Caenorhabditis elegans: one gene and its partners. The protein of the gene in region 3 binds, or shares a complex with, the protein of the main gene of each other region. Each region holds a gene or a part of one and is shown on either strand. Other genes may lie near its edges.

What was found.
Region 1: tost-1 (region 3) and tofu-6 share a complex: the UniProt entries of both Caenorhabditis elegans proteins name them as parts of the tost-1 variant of the PETISCO complex.
Region 2: tost-1 (region 3) and pid-3 share a complex: the UniProt entries of both Caenorhabditis elegans proteins name them as parts of the tost-1 variant of the PETISCO complex.

The regions. Positions count from the first base shown.
Region 1 is NC_003280.10:5,419,173-5,423,296, forward strand, and holds tofu-6 (Embryonic developmental protein tofu-6), read left to right. Parts: upstream 1-2,075; 5' UTR 2,076-2,106; coding exon 2,107-2,273; intron 2,274-2,317; coding exon 2,318-2,408; intron 2,409-2,455; coding exon 2,456-2,596; intron 2,597-2,639; coding exon 2,640-2,963; intron 2,964-3,012; coding exon 3,013-3,184; intron 3,185-3,229; coding exon 3,230-3,345; intron 3,346-3,399; coding exon 3,400-3,492; 3' UTR 3,493-3,565; downstream 3,566-4,124. Other genes in the region: EEED8.15 (PHR domain-containing protein), read left to right, coding at 102-650, 699-761, 1,253-1,717; F07F6.7 (Apolipoprotein L, 1), read right to left, coding at 3,671-3,796, 3,844-3,939, 3,988-4,124. UniProt on the Caenorhabditis elegans protein: Component of the pid-1 and tost-1 variants of the PETISCO complexes, which have roles in the biogenesis of a class of 21 nucleotide PIWI-interacting RNAs (piRNAs) that possess a uracil residue at the 5'-end (also called 21U-RNAs) and embryogenesis, respectively.
Region 2 is NC_003279.8:2,618,758-2,622,438, reverse strand, and holds pid-3 (Protein pid-3), read right to left. Parts: upstream 1,790-3,681; 5' UTR 1,781-1,789; coding exon 1,616-1,780; intron 1,569-1,615; coding exon 1,491-1,568; intron 1,445-1,490; coding exon 1,215-1,444; intron 1,156-1,214; coding exon 705-1,155; 3' UTR 580-704; downstream 1-579. Other genes in the region: Y23H5A.2 (t-SNARE coiled-coil homology domain-containing protein), read right to left, coding at 1-121, 425-482; spe-47 (Major sperm protein), read right to left, coding at 2,090-2,200, 2,248-2,382, 3,233-3,681. UniProt on the Caenorhabditis elegans protein: Component of the pid-1 and tost-1 variants of the PETISCO complexes, which have roles in the biogenesis of a class of 21 nucleotide PIWI-interacting RNAs (piRNAs) that possess a uracil residue at the 5'-end (also called 21U-RNAs) and embryogenesis, respectively.
Region 3 is NC_003281.10:4,876,875-4,880,302, forward strand, and holds tost-1 (Protein tost-1), read right to left. Parts: upstream 1,438-3,428; 5' UTR 1,437-1,437; coding exon 1,298-1,436; intron 1,248-1,297; coding exon 1,138-1,247; intron 1,023-1,137; coding exon 843-1,022; 3' UTR 652-842; downstream 1-651. Other genes in the region: arx-6 (putative actin-related protein 2/3 complex subunit 4), read left to right, coding at 1,789-1,899, 2,040-2,259, 2,305-2,405, 2,451-2,528; C35D10.1 (ER membrane protein complex subunit 7 homolog), read left to right, coding at 2,873-2,977, 3,200-3,428. UniProt on the Caenorhabditis elegans protein: Component of the tost-1 variant of the PETISCO complex which plays an essential role in embryogenesis. Within the complex acts as an adapter which binds to the complex via erh-2.

The DNA of each region.
Region 1 (4,124 bases), on a different chromosome or scaffold from region 3:
ATATATCTTGTTTTTTTGGCGATTTTCCTTTGCTCACATAATATACCTATTCTTATTTTCAGACTTGGTACCAATTTCATTCTTCTTCGTCTCCTTAACCAATGTCTTCGCATAGCCGATCATCCAGTGATTCGAGTTTTGAATTTGTGAAGGAAGATGGCGAATCTCAAGTGGCAAAGATGGCATTGAAAATGGAACAGAGGTCGAAGGAAGTTCAAGATGCTTTAGATATCCTTAGCATCAATGGAGATGTTTCTTCTGACGAAGAAGCAGTATCTGTAAAAGAAGAATCTTCTGATGAAGCGGGAGTTAACACTTCCCAAGAAGTTATTCAGAATGATGATACTGAAGAATCTGAAAAATCGGAAACTATATCTCGTGAAGTGTCCAACACCGATGAATTCGGGATTGGAAACAATGTGGGATTTACTGCAAAAGTTGATGATCTTATTGAAAAAATCGCTGAAGCCGTTAAGGATCAACAAATATCAGAGACCACTGAAATTCGTTACAGTGATCCACTTGGGGCATTGGAACCTCTCGTGGGTGAACCCAACGAAATTGAAAAATCAGAACTTTTGTCTGAAATTCGCCAATTACGATCTGAAATCGAAGAGATGAAAGAAACGGAAGTGAAACAAAATTCAACGGTATAGTTTTTTGTAGGGATAAAATTAGTTGAAAATGTTTTTTTCTAGATAAGACTTCTCAAACTGAAGTTCGACGAGATTGACGAAAGGGAGAGACAGAAGGAATTACAGGTAAATTTTTGGAAGGAACTTAAGGCATCCATGGCATCGGTGGCAGGCAGGCGTACATGCCTGCCAACTCTCAATTTTTTACATTTGGAAGTGAACTCCAGTGCAATTTGAATAATGTAGAGCTACTTTGAACCAAAAAACTCCTGAAACTAAATGGATTTTAATTTTCGCAACATATTTTCTGCGCAAATATCTCGTAGCGAAACCTACAGTAACTTTTTCAATTCGAACTAAACTGAAAGATTTGGGGTTACAGTAGTCATTTACATATTACTGTGGATTTCTCTTCGAGATATTTTGAGCGTTAAATATGTTGCGTAATAGGCATTCTCAGTTGGAAATATCTACATAATAATTTAAAAAAATCATAGGCTTTAAACAAAAGATTTTGTGAAAAATCAGTCTCATTTTGGATTACAATTCGGGAGTAGCTTTCCTAAAACTCCTCCCTATCAATATATATTCCATCAAAAATTTGTTTTAATTTCCAGCGTTACACTCCGATTGCAACTGGAATCTGCGGTGCTTGGCGGCTCTCCGAGATCAATAAGTATAATGAAACACTCAAAACCCGTGGAGTATCGTTCCCAAATCGTCTGAAAACTCTTGCTGCTTACACCGTATACAACTTCGATGGTACTTATCTGAAATCTCACAATCAAGTTTTTTGTAAAACGTTTAACAGTGGCTGTTTGAAACTTGGAACTCATGAGATAACCGGTGGAATTGTTGTATCAACCTTCATTTATAGAAATAAAATGATAACAATTTGGAAGAATAAAGATGGAACTTCTTGTGTAAGAAAGGAGAGATACATTAAAGATGGAAAATTGTACAATGTGCACACAAACAATTCCGGCGAAAGGACTATACGCATTTTTGAACGAGTTCAGGGAAAATCAGATATCTTGTACTCAATTGCAAACGTCGGAGGACTCTATCTCAAATTTTGGTGATCACCTGCTTTCTTCAATCCACACAACTTGGTCTCGCAACGAAATATCATCTTAATGATTCTCAAATTCACAGCATTAATTAATTCGCTATTTTATTCAATAATTTTTAATTTTCTCCGTCCATTTGTCTTTCAAAATTTTTTAAAGCAATTTTTAATCATTTTAATCGTTCTCCGTGGGAAATAATGAATCTTTTCGAAATTCTGTGCCTGTAAATAATGATTTCAAGGGTACTGTAGTTTTTTTTAAACAAGTGCGCTCTATTGCACACCGCTGGAATACGCGCGAAAAATGGGAGATTTCATTTTTGCTCGCTTTTTTTGCATTTCAAGCATTTTTTTAAAATTAAAGCAAGAATATTTTCAGTTTCAGAATTACATTTTTTAGAGATGGCTTCCAGCTCGACCGCATATTATCTGAAAGACGCCGGATTCCATATTCGCAATATTCCGAAAGCTTGGAATGATTGGAACTTGTTCCATGTCTTCCAAAACTTTGGAAAAGTCAGTTATTGCCGTGTTGTTGGACAATCCAACGATGGTCAAGTTCAATTGGGGTAAGATAGTGAGACTCTAGAAACGATTCATTTAAAATCTTCAGATTTGTGAACATGATGTCGGTAGCAGATGCTGATGAAGTTCGCAAGAATTTGAACGACGGAAATCTGATCGGCGAAAATTTCACGTTGAAGGTGAGCGTTGCGAATATATAAATTCAAATTAAAACTGTAATTTTAAGGTTACCGATCATAAGAACGTCGGAGGATCTCTTCTCCCAATGGCTTCCAATTCCGTTCAGAAGCTTGTATCATCTCCACCATCGAAAAGCGGACCAGTTCTTCTATCATCATCCTGGCTTCCACTCAACAAGGATATCGAGGTTTCTTACTTTTCCTTCAGCTTATATTAAATTTTCAATTTAGGTCGAAGTTGTCGACTATCTTCCATCCTCATCAGTGGCTCCAGATCTTTTCGCGTTGACTCTTCTCCGCATAAATGATTCGTCAATGAAAGAAAAATATGATTCAATGCACGAGAAAATGAACGCGTATGCTCAAATTGTTCCATTCGATTCGGAGCTCGAAATTGGCTACGATGGAGTCTTCCGTGATGCTCCCCGTTCCGTTCGACGCGTTCGACGCATCTCAGCCACCAAGCTTTATCTCGTTGATTTTGGAAAAATTATCAATTATGAGAAGGCAAAATGCTTCCAATTGCCAAAAGTTTTCCAGTCGATGCCGACAAGGGTAAGAGTTCCATTCAAATGTTTAACATATTTTTTCTATTTATTTTCAGGTTTCCTTGTGTGGACTAGATGGTCTTACCTGGTCACCAGTCGCCATTCCATCATTTGATAATATTCGCGAGGTTGTTAAAAAATGGGGACAAATGGAAAATTCGACGCTTCACGCCATGGCTTGTGGATTTCAAGGCTCTATTAACATGATCAATCTGTTCTGTGGAAAATGTGCGTTTTTTCTTTTGAAAATTCCCCTCATAATAATTTTTACAGCGATTCTTGCTGACCGTCTTCAACGTAAAGGTGTCTGTGAATACTTGCCACGCAGTCAGCAGCCACACTATGCATACTCCCGCGAGACTCTTCTTCAGCACAATAATTCTGGAGTGGTGAGATTTGATGATTTAAAGGGATTTTCAGTTTTAATTTGGCTTTATTTTCAGACTGCTCAAATTTCGAACGATGCTGATGTCGTCAAAGATCTACTCAAGAAGATTGATGGAGTGAAGAACATGCTCCGTGAGCTCGAGCTGTAAATCTGTCCCATTTTTTTTGTCGAAATTACATTGAATCTATGATGTTGTCAAAAAAATGAACATTTTAATTCAGTGTCAGATTTTATAAGAACAACAACAAGAAAAATAACAACGAGAAAACAACAAAAAGAAAAGAAAATCAACAAGAAAAAAATCAAGAAACTTTGAAAAGTGAAAACTAATCGCTGTTCCAGGCGTCGTAATTCAAGAAGTTGGTTACAACATTGTGTCGCATCCTTTCCATCTTGCCGGAAGCTTCACGAATTTTTCCTGCCAATTCAGAGGAAGATCCGTTTTTAAGCGTCTGAAATGAAATTAATATTATATTTTGATAACATTGTTCGCGGTTACATTAGCGCTCATGGCCAGGGTAACACCGTCCAGAACGATTCCGATGGCTGCAACGCTCTGCAGCATTCCTTTCATAAGTGCATTCGTGAGATGGCCCTAAAAACGAAGGTAAAAATTTAAATTTCAAAAAAACAACTATTCTACCATGGAAGATGCGGCCATTTTAATTCCGAATCCTGTGATTCCGGCGAGAGAAACACCAAAAAGTGTTTTCAAATGAGACTGGACATCGTCGAAGTTTTTGAAAATCTTTGACGATTGCTTGTCCTCCACAAATCTCC
Region 2 (3,681 bases), on a different chromosome or scaffold from region 3:
GATGTGCTCGGCGCTATCGGTTGTGGAGTGGCGGAGGTGATCAGGCGAACCGGTGGGCCTGAGGATTTCGGCGGGATTTTAGGCCGAATTATAGGAAGTCGCATTTGTTGATTTGGTCGTGCTGGAAGAAAATTGGGTCTCGCCACGAGTTTTTTCGAGATTTTATTTTTTGTGGAAGTTTTGGGCCGAACACCGGTCTCGACACATAATTTTATTCGATTTTTTTTGTTTTTTTTTAGTAAAAATATGCTTAATGTTCTAGTATAACAATAAAACACTTGAATTTCAACAAATCGAGAGAAAAACTCTGAAAAATCTATCAAAATTCCGCAGAAAATCTTCTCTGAATTACAGTACTTTTTTAAAGGCGCACACCTATTTGTAATGAACACAAATTGTCGTGTCGAGACCTGGAAAATCTTACAAATTTTATATCTCGGCTCATAGTCGTCGGATGGCTGTGAGGAGCTGCCTTCTTCCATCTAAAAAATTACTTATTTTAAGAACAATTCTCTCCAACGAAAACAAGAATCGAGCCCCGATTTTAACAGATTAAAATGAAAAAAAAATCGCACATGCTAATGGAGAGATTATTTATCAAGGAATATGAGCAAATTGATTAAAAAAACCGGTAAAGGTCGAGATATCGAAGAAAGATCATCAGAAATCAGAAAAAAATAACTTATAAGCAAATTGGGGCACATTTAAGAGGAGACTTTCGAAAGTCTGATCGGCTTTCCCACTTGCTCCACGAGCTTCTTCGACTTTTTGAGCGATGGCCACTCGAGTGGAACGGCTGGCGACGAGACGACGAGGCTGCTAACTTGAAGTTTGTGATTGCGATCGAGCTTCTTCCCGTTGAAATCCTGCACGGCCTGATAGACTTGAAACTTGTTCTCCAGGGCAACGACGGCCGACTGGGCGCCGGTGATGGTGATCCCATTGACACGATATGGGGTGAGAAGTTGTGCGATGCCGAACGTGTTGAGCATCCCCGGATATCCACTGATCTTCAGCATGTTCTCCTGATCCGCACCTCTCGGCTCTTCTTCGGCGTGAAGAACTTTGAAAACGGAATCCTTGATGTCTTCGCTGTTGAAGAGAACCTTGTCGAACGTCGGTTTCGGATCTTTTCCATGGAGAATTCCACACGCGCTGAAACACACAGGAATTAAATAAAAAATGGCTAAATAAAAAAATGTAATTCGACTTACTTTCCCTCATTTCTCACAATCGCGGTGCCGCTACGATAAATCCATTGGCACATGTTCCGGAACACGCTATTCTGATCGGTTTCCACATTTTGGAAACGATTGGCACAGTTATCGTAGAGCAATCCCTGACGGACGAATCCGTATCTCGACGCCAACACCTTCATCCACTCGTACTCGTTCGACTGCGACTGTGGAAGAATGTGCACGACGAGGACGACCTGCGGATGCTCCTGAAGAATTATTTAATTGAATTTTATTTAATTTATCCATCAAAACCTTGTGAATCTTCTGATATGCATTAGTGCATGAGTCAAAATTGCCTGGCAAAGTCTCGACGATGGTCACCGGTGCAGCCTGGAATTATTGCATTTATAATTAATTAATTATTAACTCTTAATAACCTCATAATTGAAATAGTGACCAATAAAAGCTCCTTCCAATCTCAAAGTCTCGATAAACCACTCGGAAAATTCTCTCAAATCGGCTCGCTTCTTGTCATTCAGGTTATTGACAGTCACGACCATCGCCCATTTCGACTTGAAATCCGCCTTCTGATGGGCAACCATTTTCTGAAAAATGTACATTTTTATTAATTAAACAGTAAATTTTACAAGAAAACTGAAGAAACAGGCCGAGAAAATCAGAAAAAATGAAAAAGAAATCTCCGAAATTAATTTTTGAAACAATTTCCCGCGTTTGAAAATGGCTTCGTACGGTAGAGCGTACTTGCAGCTTGTTTGAAACCTCAGTTTTAGGGATCGAAATCTCCCATGGAAGTAGAAATGCCAGGAAAACATGATTTAAACACAATTTTACTCATAAAAGCTTTTTACAAATACAAAAATAAATAAAATAAAGTCGAGAAAAGAGACAAATCATTGATAGAACACACGAATTGCGAGGCGACGTCGGTTCTGGGAATAGAAGAACTCGGAGGAAAATTTGGAGTAGGAACGGCTGGGGATCAGAGCATAGTCGATGGCGAGCTGGAAATCGGAAATTGAAGTTTTATTCAATAGAATTATAAAATAACCTTATCAATGGAAACTCCAGGATCCGAAAAATCATCGAAGTAGTTGCCAGTGACTCCAACACGGATTGTCATGCTTTGTCCGCTCAGAAGAACTCCAGAAGTTGGAGCAGCGATGAGGTAGGCGTCGGCATTTGTCTGAAATTATCGGTTTTCAAACAATTTACATTATACAATTCAATTTGTGTATATTACGGGAGCACAAAATTTCTAGAATGCGTCTAGAAATTTCTAGAAATTTCTAGATTTTCTAGAAATCTAGAAATTTCTAGATTTCTAGAATGTTGACGCGCAAAATATCTTGTAGCGAAAACTACAGTAATTCTTTAAAGGACTACTTTAGCACTTGTGTCGATATACGGGTTTCGTTTTCGAAATGAAAACAATTCGTTTCTTCGAATTATTTACTTTTTTGCTTAATTTTAATATTCTATCGATATTTCGAAAATCCATATCTAATTAGCTATCTAAAAATTTCTATCTAGAATCGAGCCGTTAAATCGACACAAGAGCTACAGTAGTCGTTTAAAGAATTACTGTAGTTTTCGCTACGAGATATATTGCGCGTCAAATATGTTGCGCCATAAGCATTCTCAGAATTTTGTGTTAAGTATTATCAAAATATATAAACTGACATGTGAAACGTGGCTTATTTTTTATTTTGTTTTTTATTTAAGCTCCTCCCATTCCTGGCCTTTCGTTAAAATTTTTATTTATTAGCTCATTTAAAAAAATGGGAGGCGCTTAAATAAAAAACAAAATAAAAAATAAGCCACGTTTCACATGTCAGTTTATATATTTTGATAATATCGTAATAATTTGCGAGTTAATTTTACACGCAAATTCGAATTTTCAATTTTTTTTTTCAGCAAAAATGTTTGGAAAATCACAAAGTACCAACTTGTGCGTAAAGTCCGATGCATTGAAGTCGGTGAATTGCACAAAAACCACAATACATACAATTTTACGCGCCAAACCGAGACCTCACCTTCAAAGCGAACATAATATGCGATTGCGAGACGTTAGTGACTCGAATAACTTCTTCCAGCTTGCCAGCGGCAAACGTGATCCGGTCGGCCGGCACGGTGACAATATCTGCTGCAGCTCCACCGCAGGCCAACGTCATCGCCGACATGGTCTGGAAATTCCGGCTTTCCTCGATTTTCATAGTTTTCAAAGTAGATGGAGACGGATTCTGGGTGCTCTGCATATCAAGTGACGGCACGAAACTGCACGCTGTGCTCATTTCCAAATTCTCTTCCACTGGGAATATGTATTGCAGCGAGTCATCCTCAGAAAACTGGGTTATCGTTGGTGTCATCGCATCGTAGTTCCGCAGAAAACCATCAGTCTCCAGCTGTGAAACCAGTGACGTCAGAACTTCAAGCTTCTCCGCGAATTTCCAGGTGGCGGGCACTGCGGACAAGTTGGAGCGGA
Region 3 (3,428 bases):
ACCTCCGTATCACACCACCATGTTGTAAGTCGCTACTCAGTCGATTTACCAATTGAGAGGTTGAATGCTTAAAATGCACATATTTCAGAACAGTCTTTTCCCTAGGAAATTTCAAATTTTATCTGATGTTCAGATCGTAGCACATGCTCTTTTGATCGGTTATTATTCATTCGGGGATTGACTGAGGATCTTTAGATTCTTTCTCACTTTCAGGTAGACTTCCTCGCGGCTTCGGCTCCGGTAGTAGTAGTTTACATATCAGGATTTTCAACACTTTTGTATTCCGACACTATTCCACTGGAAAATTCACTTATTGTGCATTTTTGGCAAAATTCTACAAGTTTCAAGGGAGACGCGCTTATACAAAAGGGTCTCGCCGCGGGAATCGTATTTATTAAAGATACTTGGTTTAAATGTCTTCTTACGTTAACAGAAGATTATTTTTAATATGTTTTTCTCGCGGCGAGACCCCTACACACATATGCTCTGTCCTTTGAACTTAAATGTTACTCTTTTCGTTTCAATACCAAATGCGCAATAAATCCCGCATTGAAGCATAGCGTTCTCCCATTACTTCTGCTCCCATTTCAGTTATTTTTTATGCCAATCTTGAAATTATTGCGTGCTCAAACGAAAATCAAACAAGCACTTACTTTGAACGATTTACTTATCGAAGGAATACCACAGAAAATCGTAGGATAAGATTATGAAAATTTGCACTGAAGTTCATGGGTGTGGGAAAACGAGGGAAATTATAACACTTAAAGAAGAAAAGGGCTGCTCAAAAATTGTGAGAAAAATACATAAATTTTGGAAAATGAATTTTGCAATTTATGGAAAAATTAAACGGATTGAAGAATGCTTCTGGTGATTTCTTGAATGTAGATATCCGAGCTGGTGAGCTTCTTCTCATCAGTAGAGGACGGCTTCAAAACAGCTTTCTTGGTCGGTGCATTCTCCTTGTCCTCCTCTTCGAAAACTTTCTCCGGTGAATTGACAATTGGATTTTTTGCGAGATAGTTCTGAAACATAACCAGGTTCTCATAAAATCTCAAAGTTTCATTTTTTAAGGAAAACATTAAGAGTTGTGTTAATATCAGTGCTTTGATTAAAAGTTCGAATAGTCTAAATAATTACCTCCACAAATTCCTTTTTCGAATTCAAGTTCCGGTCGTGAACGACAAAGAAGACATCAGAATCGTTTTTGACAGTCTCTGGCTCAGTGGCTTGAATAGTGTACCCCTTTTCTGGAAGACAACTATGTTATTATGATTCAAAAATGCTTGAAAACATTTACCGAGAACTCCGAAGCGCTCATTCAATGTGATTCGTTTATTTGTCGCAGTTTTGTACTTGTTTTCCAGAATCGACGCCACTTTGTTGCTGTGCTCACGGTCAGCTAAAGGAATAACTTGATATTGGATGGCAGTAGTCATTCTGAAAGGTTTAAATTTTTAAATTTTACTGAAAACGCAAAATATTTTGCAAAATGGGAAAGTGGAATGATTGAAAATCAGAAAATTAATTTTAAAATTGACAATTTTTAAAAGAATGGATGATAAATTTGTCTTCGCGCGCTACTCGAAACAAAAAGTGCAGCGGAGCGTGTTTGCATTACTTTCAAAACGACGCAAATAATGATTCATTTTCGGATTATCGACTCCAATTTTACGATTTTCGCCGGTATTTCATGTTTTATTTTGTTCCATGCAATCTTTTTTCACTTCTAAATAATGTCTCAAACTGTTTCGTCAATAAAAAAATCAATAAGCATGCGCATTGCAGGTAATGAGCGCAACACTCCAACCATATCTGGAGGCCGTGCGTCACACGCTCCAGGCAGCTCTCTGTCTTGAGCAATTCAGTTCGCAGGTGGTCGAGAGACACAACAAACCAGAAGTAAGATTTATAACAGTAAAATGACTTGCAAAGTGTGAAGATTGAATAATTTAAATCAGTCCGCCGCCAATTGCAATAGTTTTTCGCTCAAAAACTATTTAAATGTATTATTCTATTTGTATATTATAATAAAATTGTAGGTGGAAGTTCAAACATCGAAAGAACTGCTCATGACGCCAGTTGTTGTTGCTCGAAACAAACAGGAACGAGTACTCATCGAACCCTCCGTCAATTCTGTCAGAATATCAATCGCCATCAAACAATCCGACGAAATCGAGAAGATTCTGTGCCACAAGTTCACTCGATTCATGTGCCAAAGAGCCGATAACTTCTTTGTGCTCCGTCGCAAGCCACTGCCAGGTCAGAATTAATACTAATATTCAGAGATTAAAGCGATAATTTTAGGTTATGACATCTCGTTCCTCATCACAGCATCTCACACAGAAGCAATGTTCAAGCACAAACTTGTCGACTTTTTGCTTCATTTTATGCAGGAAATTGATAAGGTGAACATTTTAAGTTAATTTTTAAAAAATTCCATAAATTTCCAGGAAATTTCCGAGATGAAGCTGTCTCTCAACGCCCGTGCCCGTGTTTCTGCTGAAGAATTTTTGAAGCGTTTCAATTAATTTTCTCCCCATGATTCCCAATTCATTTTTCTCATTTTCACTCAAATTCCGAAGACTTTAAACTATTATGTGAACACGGTTTTTTGATCAATTTGTGTAAATATCATCTTTATTCTCAATTTTTTCACTTTTTGTTTCTGAAAATGACTCCCCTCCCAAAAATTTCCTGTTTTAGGTCCTATTTTGCCTTTTTGATTATCGATTTTTTTTACCGCACACTGACTTTATGAATTATTTATTCAATTTTTGCAATATGTATGATCTGAAATATCTCGTGAAACATTTACGAGCTTTAATATTTTAAAATGATTATTAAGTTGGAAATTGACAAATCAATTTCAGAAATGAAGTCTATTCTACTTTTATTCTCCCTGATAGTGCTCGGCAGTGCAACAGAAGAAGTGAGCAGAACTGAGCAAACATCGACATTATTCTCCGTCGAAGGCGAGGTTCGTATACCAAAAATGTTTGATTTTTGGATTAAAAATATCGATCATTTTGGCTATATTCATAGAGAAGTCATATTATAAATTAAGACAACGTTTATATGCTTCTGAATACTTTTTCCAGTTCTCACATTTTTTAAAATTTTATCTTCTAGGTTCCTATTCTAATAACAACAAATTCGTTGTAAATTAAATATTTCATAGTCCTCAAAAAAAAAATTTCAGATCGCACTTCCATCTACTCGAAATTGTGCAAAATGGTCCGCAGGTGCTCGTATTCATTTGAACCATGGCCAATATATGGGATTTGTTCGTCAAGATTGTACATTCCGTGTTGATTTCGTGCCTACTGGAACCTATATTGTTCAAATCGAAAATACAGATTTTGTCTTTGAGCCAATTCGCGTTGATATCACATCAAAAGGAAAGATGAGAGCTAGAAAATTGACAATTC